Drosophila melanogaster: one gene and its partner. The protein of the gene in region 1 interacts with the protein of each later gene in a pairwise test. Each region holds a gene or a part of one and is shown on either strand. Other genes may lie near its edges.

Region 1 (7,981 bases):
ATTTGTACGCCCGCTGAATGTAGGTATGGTCCAGCAGACTCTGGCCATTAAAATATAGCAGATCGTACACCACGAAACATGGCTGCCAGCTGCCCTCCGGCTTCAGGCTCTTCACGTCCGTATTCTCGCCTTTTTCCCGAAAGCGCAGTTTGTTGGTATCCCACACCATCATCTCGCCGTCGAGTATGATAGACTCCAGACCCAGCGGCAGAAGTCCCCTCAGCTTTGGCGTTAAGGTGCCGTGATCGTAGCTGTGACCAAAGTTTCTGGTGTAGTCCACTCCATTGCGGGAAATGTACATGAAACGACCCCGATCGATGTGCAGCTGAAAGCGTTCGCCATCCATTTTGGTCTCCAGATAGAGCACATCCGACTGCATCAGCTCCTGGATGTCACCGGGGAATCGTTCGCACAGCATGGGACGTATCTGGTGGAATGGCCGTATGACGGAATTCAGGTTTACAAACTTGACCGCCGCCTTGCTGTCCTTGCTGCTGCTGGCGTCTAGGTCGGTGGTTCGGTCTGCCAGCAGATTGCACACATGTCCCAGATCGGAGCAGCGCTGGTAGATATCCTGCGCCTTGGGGTGCAGCACACCGAAAATCTTTTGCTCACCGATCCCCAGCCCGAGGCTCTTAAGCAGCAACCGAATTAGCCACTTCTGTTCCTCAGGCGAGGCCTGCTCCGTAAACCGGATGAGTTGCTGCTGCTTAACTGCAAAGAGCGGTCTCATTAAGACGTTCAGTCGTTCAGATCAGTTTAAAAGCGCCCACCTTCTGTGTCCTCGTTGGCAATGGTGTCCAGCATCTGATGGATTTCTTTCAGTCTCAAATTGCTGGGCGGATTAAAGCACCTTGGCTTAAGCACGGAATAAACAACATCACCGTAGTCCCGGTACATGTTTCCGTTGCGGTGCTGCAGCCTGATGGCATCGCTGGCTAGTAGAGACAACAAAGAGATTCTAAATAAGCCTAAATGCCATTGCCAATACGTTTCTGCACTCACAGTCCGTGGGTAGCTGGAGCACCCTGATGTAGAGCCTGCCCAGCGCGGTGATCTGCAATCCATAGGTATCCCGACCAGTGTCCGCACCCGGAAGCAGCAGTCGCAGCACGGAATAGAAGCTACTGGCACCGTCCTCCGGCTGGTCGTTGTTTAATCCGGTTTGCCGGCGAAAGGATTCGCGGTGGCGACAGAAGGACTCGTAGTAGCTCTTGAGGACCTCCTCCTTGTTAGCCACCTTTTGCGTGGCCTTAATCTTCTCGAACAGGCTGCAAATATCCCGGAACTTGATCGTGCTGGCTATATCTACGCTCATTTTGTTGTTTAAAAACAATATACTGTTGTAAACAATTTCATCACTGTGAACATCTGTTCAAGCAATGTGACCGCGCTTCTCAATCAAAGTTAATACCCATTTTAGACTAGTTGCAATATTAAGATGCGGACGTTAGTGGCAGAGATTATTTAATTTTTAAGCTCTTCTATTTGGCATAAAATAGATAAAATAGTTTATAGGAACAAGTTAAAATTAGCAGACTATATAAAATACCAAAATTAATCGATAGACTTCTATCAATAACCAAAAAGGCGGCAAATCGTTTGTTTTGGTTCGGTCCACAGTTATTGACTTTTGCTTCACGCTTGGCAAGTTATTCGAGAAAATGGGCAAAAAGGAAACGCGAGCGAGAAAACCAAAAGCTGATCCGGATGCGGAGGGATCTGCCAAGATGTGCAAGGCCTCGGCACTGAAGAAGGTGTTCTTCATGTCGGAGGAACTGCTGCCCAAAGATGCGGACGACGGACACCTTCGGCTGGAGATGTTTTTCCATCCCGGACATGGCAAGGAGGCACTGTTCATAACCCATCCCGATGGCAGAATGATGGAGCTGGTGGCGTTCACGGAACCCCGACGCAGTTGGTTCGTGGACAGCGAGGTCTGCTCCAACGGCAGAATCTACATGACCGCGCCCGTGGATCCCACGTTCCTGGCTCTTCATCACCTCCGAAAACATTGTGCGCAAAGTAAGATATTATCATTCGCTTTCGATGGTATACTATACTATTGTATTCTTGAAAATCTTTAACCACAATCAGGAGCAATATCGCTGGACAACATTGCCGTGGAGGAGGCCAGCACCAGTCGTCTGCTTAACGAGATCCTCGACCCAGGGAACCTTAAATGCGTGGCAGATGTGAAGAGCTCTGGCGAACAGAAGTTCTACAAGTACAACCAAGAGCGCACATTGGCTTGGTTGGCTCTGAAGACGCGCCAGGTGGCGAAGATCCTGAAGGAGAAGCAAGTCCACTGCGGCCACAGTGCGCAGTCGCAGAATTTCGTGCGAAGCGAGAAACTGGTAGCTGAGAACGTTAGCAACGAAATGGACTACACGCGCATGGCTTGCGATTATGTGGGACGGTATTTGGATGCGGATCTGCACGGCTTGCTCACCAGTTACCTGCACATTCCTAGCGAGATTCAGGCGATTGTTGAGGAGAAAGCAGCTTCTCAGAAGCGCAAGTCGGTGGCGGGCAAGAACGAGGGCAGCGACTCCAAGAAGATCAAGCTAAATGAGAGCGATGCTGCTGCCAAGCTAAAGTCCAGCGGTCTAGTGGACAGCGATGGCGATCCCAATGCCACCATCACATCGCCCACAGCGGCGCCTCTGAAGGAGCGCTCGCTGACCGCCAAGGAGAAGGCCCTGGCCAAAGGAGCCAAGGGCACTAAAAGCATCGCATCGTTTTTCAAAGCGAAGTAGATTAACGTTTCACAGATCTTAAGAATAGGTTTTAACTCCTTATTTTATATATATACTCTATTTAATACAAATGTACACTTTTTTTTACAATGAATATAGTACTTTAAAGAATTACTTTTGTTATTTTAAGATTTGTATTCATAAATTTGGTATTTTGAAAGTGCGCCTTTTTGGCGCATGCGCTGTTTGATCATCTCTCTTGATTCCGTTTGGTAAATCCCCATCAGCTGTTGGCGTTGCCAGGCTTCTAAGGAATTGGTTTACTTAGAGGCTTCAGTGCCAAATGTTGCGAATAAAGAGTTTCTTAGTCGACATATTTTTTTAGGTATACCATATAAGCATATTAAGTAATGCTAATTAAACATATGAAATCAGAGTATACTAATAAAACTAACTAGAAACGAAATTAATTTTTGGGGATTCATGCAACACATATGATTTCAATCCTTAGTTCATTGCGCGGGGTGGCAATCCTGGCCGTCAGTTACAAAGCTGCTGGCTCCTTTGTTTCCGTTTTTGTCGCTCAGTTGTTGCTGTGCGCGCTCCCACGTTCGAGGCTAACGGTGAATTCCGCTTTGCGCCTTGATTCGCATTTCGCCACCCCCGTTACCCATTCGCCCGCAACCGAATATCCTGCTACTCCTGCTCTTGTTGTTGTTGTTGTTTTCTATATGCCTTGAATTTTCGGAACAACAATTACAGGGGTTACATTAGTGAATTTTCCCGTTAGCCGTGTGTCCCAAAGCCAGTGCTCAAGTTTAAATTGTGAAAGGCAGAGAAAGGAAAAGAGTGGCGTCACACGAAAGAAAATTTTCTTTGGCGTCGTCGAGGTGTTTGTGCCTTAGTGTGTGTGTATGTGTGTGTGCGAATGTGTTGTGGTTGGTGTGGCATAAGATAAATAATACAATGCAGCACTCAGTTAGCAACAAATTCTCTCTTCTCTGCAGCAGCAGCAACAACAACGGCAGCAACACCAACAATCGCAACGCAACGCACAAAAGCATGCTACGGTAAATTGCATTTGGCGTCTGTCAAGGACAAAACAAAGCGCTGTTTGTGTGAGTCCGACCACAACAACAATAGCAACAACAGCATGTGGTACAAATAACGGAACTGCAAAGTATCAACAGCAAAAGAAGCAAGTAGAAAGCCAGATAGGAAAGCAAAACAAAAGACAGGAACAAATCGCACACGAGGGCCAAAACGGACACAAAACGGAGGCTGCGACAAGAAGAAAGCGAAGAATCGAAGAAAATAAGGGAGAGGCACACACTCCCCGCACCTCCTCCCCTCACCAGCCCCGTAGGACATTTGGCGCCAGTCCGAGCAGCAACTGCGACAGCGGCGTCGACTGAGGCAGCGTCAGCGGCTGAGAAAGATGTGGCTCCGTCCCTCTCCCTCGCACACAAACGCGCTGCAGTGTCTCCTGCTCTCCTTGTTCCTCCTTTTGGGGCTGCTGCCAGCGAACGTAAGTGCCCTTCATTTCATCAATGTTGCAAGCACTCAAACTAGCATAATAACCGAAAAACAACGAAATGTTATGCTGTAGTTAATTTTTAAGCGCATTTTACACATGTAAATTGTCAAGGTGATAAAAATCGCTTGTGAATTCATTTAAAACAAGACACTATACGTTTCACTGCATGCTTTTGGGAACCTTTGTATGTGCGAGCAATTTAAACTTTGGTTTTCAACACTGTAATATTTTGATTAAATACAATTATTGTGCGCTTGTTGCAATTTGGGCCCACGAAACGCCTTAAAAAAAGATAACAGCTAATCTTTGTAAAAAGTTTTTTAAATAAACGCAAGCGCATCCATGTTGCATGCACATTTGAATTTTAAATTGATTGCGATTGCTTTCCCAACGGTAATAAATGCATAGCACACAAACATAAATATGAGCACAAGAACAAGGGCGCAGTACAGTGGTCGCTCGCTATACAAAAACACCACAAAAATAACAAGCTGTTGTTTATATTCTTTATTTATTGGCAATGACAATTTCAAAGGTGTATCGACAAAAAGTGGAATACATTATTTTTTATCATAAAAAATGTGCAAATATTTCTCATGATTAAACGAATAATATATGCAATGTCTTGTTCCATTTTCCCAGGTGTCTGCCAGATTTTGCGAGGGCTGCACTCAGGGCTGTTGCACCCAGGGCTGCTGTCCGCCGTACCAGGGCGGGCCACGCCCCCTTCCGCCCTCCTCGGACTCGCATGTTCTCAATCTGTTCTTCGCCACCCACTGGTTTTTCTGGTGAGTAGTGTTGACCCGGAGAAACTCCTCCTTTTGGAAACTTCTCTGTCTATCTAACTTATCTATTCGAAATTGTAAAATAATAGGAATCTTTCGGAGACAGTGATTCTTTTAATTGCGCAAAGTAGAAGTGATTTATTTAGCTACTGCGATGGTCACGGTCATCATGAATTGCACTGTTTTTGTTTTTGTGTTTGGGGATTCCCCGGAGGTCGTCTGCAAGGCCGTTCAATGAGGCGGGTTTTTGGGGCGTTGGAATGGTGGGATGGATTGGATGGCGTGGGTTTTCAGTGTGCTCTGGCCGGACTTCCAGCTGATTGGCATTGTGTGCCATGCGAGAGATATTATTATTATTGGCAGAAAAGGTGGCGCCCAGCGACGGGGTTGCGTCAAGTCAAATGTCGAGTCAAGTCGAGAGGCTTATGCAAGCTGTACCCCCGTGCTATGCCACCACTACCATCAGTGCGACCAGCACATAGTACCGACCACCTCCCTTGGGGGCTGTGGAAATGGCAATGCCAACTAATGAGACACAAACGGAACCCGCACACCGCCACCCAGCTCATATAATCCCATCTCTTGGCCATCGAAAAGGCAAACAAATTTCAGTCGGAATTCGATTACGGGAACAGCAGGACACGGATCCGGATCCGTATCCGCACCCACATCCGCATCCACTACTCCAATGGGCTTCTTCATTCAGTCGCGCCAGCTGCAAACCGAGCAGTGAATAACGATCCTCACTTTGATATTACAAAGATTGATTGAAAATCTATATTCTTATTGCAGGTGCGTGGTTGTGGCCATCATCTTGGCCATCCTGTGTGCCTACTCACTATGGAAGAAGCGGCGGACACTATGCGGCTGGGGATTCAATGAGCACCACACCCAATCCGAGGGCGATTCCGCCGGCTCCTGCTATGCACCACCACAATATAGTCGCTGCAACTCGTTTCACCATCCGCCGCCGCCATATACGGAGGTAATGTAATCATATACATGACCGGAATCGATTCGCTTAACAATTTCCATCTTCTCAGGTGACCTCCAAGCCGGATCTGTATCCACTTGTCTTCACCTGCAACAGCGATTCGGGCAATGGCAAGGGCAACGGCAGCTCCAGCTACCTGATGGTGCAGTACTTCCGGAACTACATCGTCCGTCCGGCTGCCGGGGGATCCCTGAGTGCGGCCAGCACCGTCGACTCCCTAAGCTCCAGCTTCATTTGCAATGCGAATGAGGCGAATACCCTGGTGCCACCACCATACTCACGGGCAGCCAGTCCGGAGTTAGGACTGCATCATTATGTGGCCCATGCCCATGCGCATGCCAATGCTAATGTCAATGCCAATGCAAATGCCCATGGACACGGGAATGGCCATCTGAGATCTGTGGAACAACAGGCGCCATCGCATCAGGTGCCAAATGCTCCGCTGGCATCTGTGCACTACGCCATGCCGAGATCGGCATCCCAGCTGGTGGAAACGGATGCCTATCAGCCGAGACTGATGCCCGCCCAGACGCAGGCCCAGCATTATGCCACCGTGGCACTGGGCAGTGCACCGGGCGGAGCAGCGCTCTACAGCACGCGGCTGCATGCATCTCACGAGGAGGGAGTTGGCGTGGGCGTTGGTGTGGGCTACCTTCAGTCCCAGAGTGATCAGCACTTCCGGTATATGGCGAATAGCAGCAGCAGTCTCAGCGACATCTTTGTGAACAACAGCTGTGTGGCAGGTGGGTATTGTGATAAGGAATTTCCTATTAAAATACTTATTTATTGTTATATGATTTCTTGCAGGAATGCTACCCGAAAGCGGAGGAGCTGGTGGTGCCTTCCATGGCGCGGAAAGTGGATCGGCAACACAGGCTGCCTCCCTGAATAGCCTGGCAATGGGCGGCTTGGGAGGATCGGTAACGGGTGCCGCAGGCACATCGGGAGGATCTGGCACACCGGTGATATACAGCAATGGCTGCATCCAACCGAACCCGCTGCATAGTCTGGAGAACTGCTGCCAGCCATCGGCTCAGGTGTCCGGCGTGAGTAGTCTGGCCAACATTGGAACACCGGGCTCGCCGCCTCAGGCCACCAGTCCGACGGGCGAGGTGCGTGAGATTCTCGACCAGATCCGCCAGCTGCAGGCGGGCGTTAGCTACGAGCAGCTACTGCTGAACGGAACTGGCGCCAAGCCCCGGCTGCAGCATACGCTATCGACGCCCTCGAACTCCCAGCAGGTGTTGCAGCCCATCCTAACCACATCCGCATCCATTTCGGGCGGCACCAGTGGGCGGAGTAAAAAGTTCTTCACCTCCGGCAGCAAAACGCAACCCAATAAGGCTCTGTACATACCCATGGCCGCCATCGGAGGTTCCGGATCGGGCGCACAGCGTTGTGTGCTCAAGAGCCCGGTGAGCAGTGTCGTCAGCGGTGCCAGCTTCTTTGTGAATCGTGGACGAGTTGCACGCAAGGGTTGGATCACCCGATCGGCACCCACAACGCCGGGCAGTGCCCTGCCGCCCAATCGCCTCGGGGATGATAGTCCGCTGCTGCTTAACGAGCACGATGAGGATGCCATTGACGATGATGAAGATGAGGAACAGGAGGTGGTCGATCGCCAGCGGAATCATCAGGAGACCCAGCGGGGTCATGAGGATACCGACAGCGAAACAGAGGCGGAGGCCAGGAATCATCGTCGCCAGCATCGCCATCATCGTGGTCATCGTGGCCATCGGCGCGGACAACTTGAATAATAGTGGGCGTGGTCGTTGGAATCGCCAGTGTCATTTAGTAGTTGTTGTTGTAGCTCAAGGTTCTCCTTTAGAAATAAGCTTTTAAACGAAAATGGAGAAATGTTTGGGAGCCGGCGGCACGCTTCTTAGTCTGAAGAATCCTGAAGAAAAGAAACGATAGTAGATAAGTTCCGTTTGTAGTATTAACAAGTTCTGTAAGATTTCTATAG
Region 2 (5,454 bases), on another chromosome or scaffold:
TGACTGTGATCTTTTGAATTTAAACTTTGGTTATCCTTTATGCAGGATCAACTCCACTTGTCTCTGCACTCGCTCGCAAGTTGTAGCTTATGTGTCTGATCTATGTATCTGTGTGTGATCCTGTCTTCAAGGAGTCACCACCGCAACTAGAACTTAAACTCACTTCGGATTCGCGACTTGATAGCGGGTACTGCGCTGGGAGGCTCGTCAAAAGTGCTTTGACTTGGCTGCAGTTGCCACAAACGTTTTTATACCGAAATCGCATTCACTGCAGCTCACAGCAGAGCAGCGGCAGAAGCAGCATCCGCAGCCAGATGCAGTGCAGCAGCCCAGATTTGCAGATTTGGCGGCTGGAAGGGCAGGAGGAGCCGACGACGAGCGGAGGCCGAGCGGGATTCGAAACAAACAGTGTTTGTCTGCCTGACAGCAACAGAATCGGAAGAGCTGCCGTCGCTGCCAGTGCACCACGTAGCGTATGCGCAACGAGTTTCAAATGCAAATGGGCGTTGCGCATACGCCGCGTATGCAGCTTACAGCTCACAGTTCTCCGCGGTGTAATTTATGTGAATTAGCAATGCGAACTTCATTTGATTAGTGCCCCCGCTGGATGCTCGACTGGATGCAATAATTCGTTAAGTCAAATATTAATTAAAAGATTACAGATGTTGCAATTGGTTTCGATTTGATGAATTGGCCATTTGGCCACATGCCTGCCAATGAGTCGAGATAGAATCTCTGCCGACTGACATTTGAATGGGCCGCGGGATGGGGCGTAGCCAGCTTGTCCATTTCAATGCATTGTTAAAGAGTATTATTTGTCTTTGTTTTCCCTATGTAGACCGGGTGAGCCTGCCCTTTTAGGCCAATTTCGCTGACCAGGTCGACCAGGCACCACTCCCAGCTGCACCAGTAACTCGCTCCCATTTGGCACATTTTTGCCGGCCGGCTAAGGCTTAAACTAAAGAGTTTTCGGCTTAAACTTTAAACTTTTCCAGCGTGTAGGAAATGTCAGTTGCAATTCATAAAAATTACAGCAATAGCTGCTGCCAAAATCCAGCCAACTCGGCGTTGGAAGATGATCACGAACATGATGAACATCGCCCGAGATTTTTGGCCAACTCCCGCTACCCGTTGGTTTTTCCCTTTCGTTCGTTTTCCATGTTACTTGGCCAATTTCGCGGTTGCCCGCGTTTTGCTTTGGCCTTCGGGCGGCTTTTCAAATTGCAGTTTTTCGCCGAGAGGAAGAGTTGTTTGCCGCTGGCTTAGTGCATTTTTCACATTTGACATACAATTTGGCTTACTCACTTTACTACTAGCCGATGCTTTTTGCACACACTCACGGTGGCCAAGTAGTTTCCCGTGTGATGACTGATGACTGATGGATCGCGTGCGATTCGAATCCGAAACCGATATATGGACTCGTTATAAGCGCACCTCAAATGTATCTTAATTTATGCCCCTTTGTCTTCTGGAGCGTGTGTGTAGCACTATGCTAATATGCTATGCAGTTTCCTAAACATTGGCAATCAATCAGCTTGCCTAGATATTTCGGGCACTTTAAGTGATGGATTGACTGGCAGCGAATGAGAAACAAGTTTATGACGTGTCTTGGTGGGATTTTTTTCGATTGCTGGAATATTCGTATAACCGGCCCAAATCGATCTCATTACAGTGCCCCATCATCATGGGCTTTATCACTTGACCTCTGTTTTTTCTTGTTGACTTACGTTTAAGCCAAGTCGCTGAATCACAAATATGCAAATGTTGTCGCTAAGATGTGAGTGTTTTATTAAGTCACATTCTGCGCGCTTCCATAGAATTTCTTTTGTGTTTTTTCCGTTTTTTCTTTCGCTTTTGTTTTGGGTATATTTCTGTATTTTTTGGTTATGGCGTAATGGGACTGAAAGATGTTAATTCGCGGCTGCTGCGCACATTAAACGCCGGTATATAAAGTGGATGGAAGATGTGGTAAGCCAAGTCGTCCGTCGGTTCCCGCCTAGAAAGCACCAAATCTCTCCCATCTCTCTCACCCCACAAGAATAGCCAACGAAATGTTCAAGATCGCCATCTGCTTGTTGGCCCTGGTCGGCGGATCTCTGGCTGCCAGCATTGGCCAGGTTGACAGCACCACCGAGAAGCGTGAGATTGTGCCTCTGCTGAGGTTTGAGACGAACAAGAACCCCGATGGCTCCTTCCACTTCAGCTACGAGGGCGGTGACCAGTCCGTGCGCCAGGAGCAGGGAGTGATCGAGAACGCCGGCACCGAGGACGAGGCCTTGGAGGTGTCCGGTATGTACAGCTACATCGACGCCGATGGCAACACCGTGGAGGTGCACTACACCGCCGGAAAGAACGGATTCGTGCCCATTGGCACCATCATTCCCAAGGAGATCACCGAGTTGGCCAAGTCAGCTGCCCTTCTGCCCAAGGTTTCCGAGGATGAGCAGAAGTATCGCAAGGCCCGCTCCCAGGAACTGGACAATAAGGAAGTTGCTGTAGAGAAGGAAGCCGCCCCAGTGGAGAAGGAGGAGCCTGTGGTTGCCAAGGAATCGGTTGTGGTGGAGAAATCCGAGCCCCTGCCCGCCGAGTCCCAGGTGGCGCCTGTCCAGGTGGTCCTCGATGCCGCGCCCCAAGCCGAGGTCAAGACCGCCATCGAGGCCGAGACCGAGAAGAAGGTTGAGACCAAGACTGCCTAAGCTCTCCTAGAACCTAGACTACTCAAGTATTGTTTAATTTAAAATCAAGTGCGATCTAATTTAACTGGCTAGCAATAAAACGATTCCCTATCTGAAATCCGCATCTTTCTCGATTCAAATGGAGCAACAGCAGCTGCATGTGAAATGCGAATTCCGTGTTGCATATAAATACTTATCATAAATTTCGTTATGGTTAGTGCTAATTTAAGCAGAAAGCTGGTCGAAGAAATATTATCTCACCGACTGCAAACTATTGGTATGACGATCATGGCTTATAACTTTATTGGAGAATATACAAAGATTAACGATTTTTATAATCAAGCGCTAACGGATTGGTGAGCACATAGCAAATGGAAATATTTTGTTGATTAGTAATGGGACAAAGCAAAATACATTTGGAGGAATTTGTAAACAACCCGAAACTCAAAAGTTATTCCCAAAAAAATTTTTATGGATCTCATAAAGATGGCCTTTATTAAACATTTACAGTACTCGTTTTTATGTTTGTTTTTGCGAATTAACACTAACGAGAACAACAGTAAGCATATTTTATTAAATGGCAACCAAATAATCTTCTGTAAGTTGATGAAATTTCAAACCTTTCTTATTTTAACATCATAAGATGCCTAGGGTTTTTGATCAGCTCACAAGAATAAATAGTCGGGAGACTTATGAACCAAGCTAAAAATGCGTTCCGAAATATCTTGCTCCATGGTGCACGATCTGCTGGAGTCACAAAAATGCAAATTTGTGCAAACGACACCTGATTGTCTAATCAATATGAATTTGTTCAACTACCTGGGATGGCATTATTGCAAGGTGGATGTCCGAAATAGTTTCAATTCCTTCTGGAGTGTGTTGGGCATGTTTCTGATTACCATTTATGTCTTCTGGATGATGCAAATAACAATAAAAAACTAGTGAGTACAACAATGATATCAAAATGTACTACCAATATGATTGAACATACTACTACCTCAGCTTCTGTCCAACTTTGATGGTAATCGCAGACTTATTGCGAATGAACGAGAGCACGGCTGGAGTTACAGTTCTGGCCATTGCAAATGGATCACCGGATTTCTTCACGGCGATTGCCTCGAGAGTGCAGACCTCCAAGCACTCATTCCTCTCGTGCATGTCGCAGGCCATGTTTCTGCACATCTTTGTGGCCGGACTGGTGATCCTGACCAAGCCCTTCAATATGCGGGCAAACACTTACCTGAGGGATTTCGGTTTCCTGTTCCTCAATACGGTCTACATGGATTACATCCACAAGCGACCCAAGGGAATCAGCTGGCTAGCTGCGTTGCCCAGTGCCTTCATATTCGTTGGCTATGTGGTGGTGGCCATCGTTGATCAGCATTTGCTGATTGCCCGCATTCAGAGTGAGTTTATTGTTTTATCAGTTAGCAGAACATCGCTTACTCTTTATCAGAAATGGAGCAAAGACAACTGAATGTGGCTGAGGCGTTGCAGCTGGAGGAACTGAAGCCGCAGAAGGAGATGCCACTGAAGCGGCAAGAAATCGATCGACCCTCCATTGGACACGGAAGTCGAAATAAGCGAATATTCCGGCAATTTTGGAATACCGTTGCCGAATTCGACAAGGATCGATTTCATCGGGGAACCTTCCTGGTGAAGCTGTATCTGATAGTGAAGCAACCCATCGATATGTTGTTGAGAATACTCATTCCAAAGGTCGACATGGAGGCACCCCAGTACGGATGGTCCAAGCTGCTCTTTAACATCCAGGTGGTTCTTGTACCCACCTACATAGCCTACATAATAGGTGAAGTTACCTTTGAAATTTGCCGGACTCTTTCACCTCACGATCTGTATTCCAGTTCGAGGATATAGCATTGCGGGCTTAGCCGTCTATATGATTGCGCTGATCCTAATGATTCCTGTGGCTACATTGATATTTTTTCTCACGCGCACTGACACCCCGCCCATATTTTTCAGGGTAAGTTTTTGTTATTTCTAGCGCATATCTCAGCCACGTTCTCATATGTATAACCGGTTTTTTATTTATGACAAAGAATATAGAAATAAATATGTGCTAAAACTAGGCTAATTTGACCATTTAATCTCAAATAATCTTACCAATATTGCGAAAAACAAATAATATTTTTAAGATCCAACTTTAACCAGTCTCATCCTAACTAACTTACAGTTTACATCTGGCGTGGGTTTCATGGCCGCCGTCTTCCTGATCTTCTGCTTAACCACCGAGGTGAATGCCATGTTCTTTACGATGGCGACCATATTGCAAGTAAGCCAGGAATTCTCACTTGCCACGGCCATTTGCTGGGCACTAAGTAGCAACGATTTGGTGGCCAATCTGTCACTGGCCCATCAGGGATGGCCTCGCATGGCAATGACGGCCACATTCTCAGCACCAGTATTTGGTAGGTAATCAGAAGATATTATCGAAGGCTATATATAAGATTTACATTCCCCAAAAGCATCCTTTGTTTTCTTGGCCCTGCCATTGGTGGTGAACTCGTTTGTAAACGCGCCCGGTAACATATTCGTAAGTTGTAGTACAGTAAATGTTGCAATATAAAGTTTTGTTAAGGGATCTGCCAGCAGCCAACGGAAGGTGGATTTGGGGAGACGGTTTGCATCTTCTTGGAGGTTGGAATGGGCTTCTCCATGCTTTCCGTACTAACCACAAACTTTAAGCTGCGACGAGCTTGTGGCTTTCTACTCGTTTCCTACTACATTTTCTTCGTGGGAGTTCTAATTCTGCTGGAGA

What was found. The genes of interacting proteins can lie anywhere in the genome.
Region 2: the proteins of CG11164 (region 1) and Cpr47Eb interact in a two-hybrid assay, tested with the Drosophila melanogaster proteins (one large-scale study listed by BioGRID).

The regions. Positions count from the first base shown.
Region 1 is NC_004354.4:13,666,423-13,674,403, forward strand, and holds CG11164 (uncharacterized protein), read left to right. Parts: upstream 1-1,591; 5' UTR 1,592-1,664; coding exon 1,665-2,025; intron 2,026-2,097; coding exon 2,098-2,759; 3' UTR 2,760-3,151; downstream 3,152-7,981. Other genes in the region: DNAlig4 (DNA ligase 4), read right to left, coding at 1-714, 774-938, 1,006-1,318; CG15760 (uncharacterized protein), read left to right, coding at 4,138-4,227, 4,879-5,024, 5,814-6,006, 6,065-6,758, 6,823-7,772.
Region 2 is NT_033778.4:11,253,194-11,258,647, forward strand, and holds Cpr47Eb (cuticular protein 47Eb), read left to right. Parts: upstream 1-1,973; 5' UTR 1,974-2,051; coding exon 2,052-2,696; 3' UTR 2,697-2,790; downstream 2,791-5,454. Other genes in the region: CG13223 (uncharacterized protein), read left to right, coding at 3,408-3,616, 3,678-4,081, 4,132-4,485, 4,541-4,659, 4,870-5,104, 5,162-5,229, 5,289-5,454.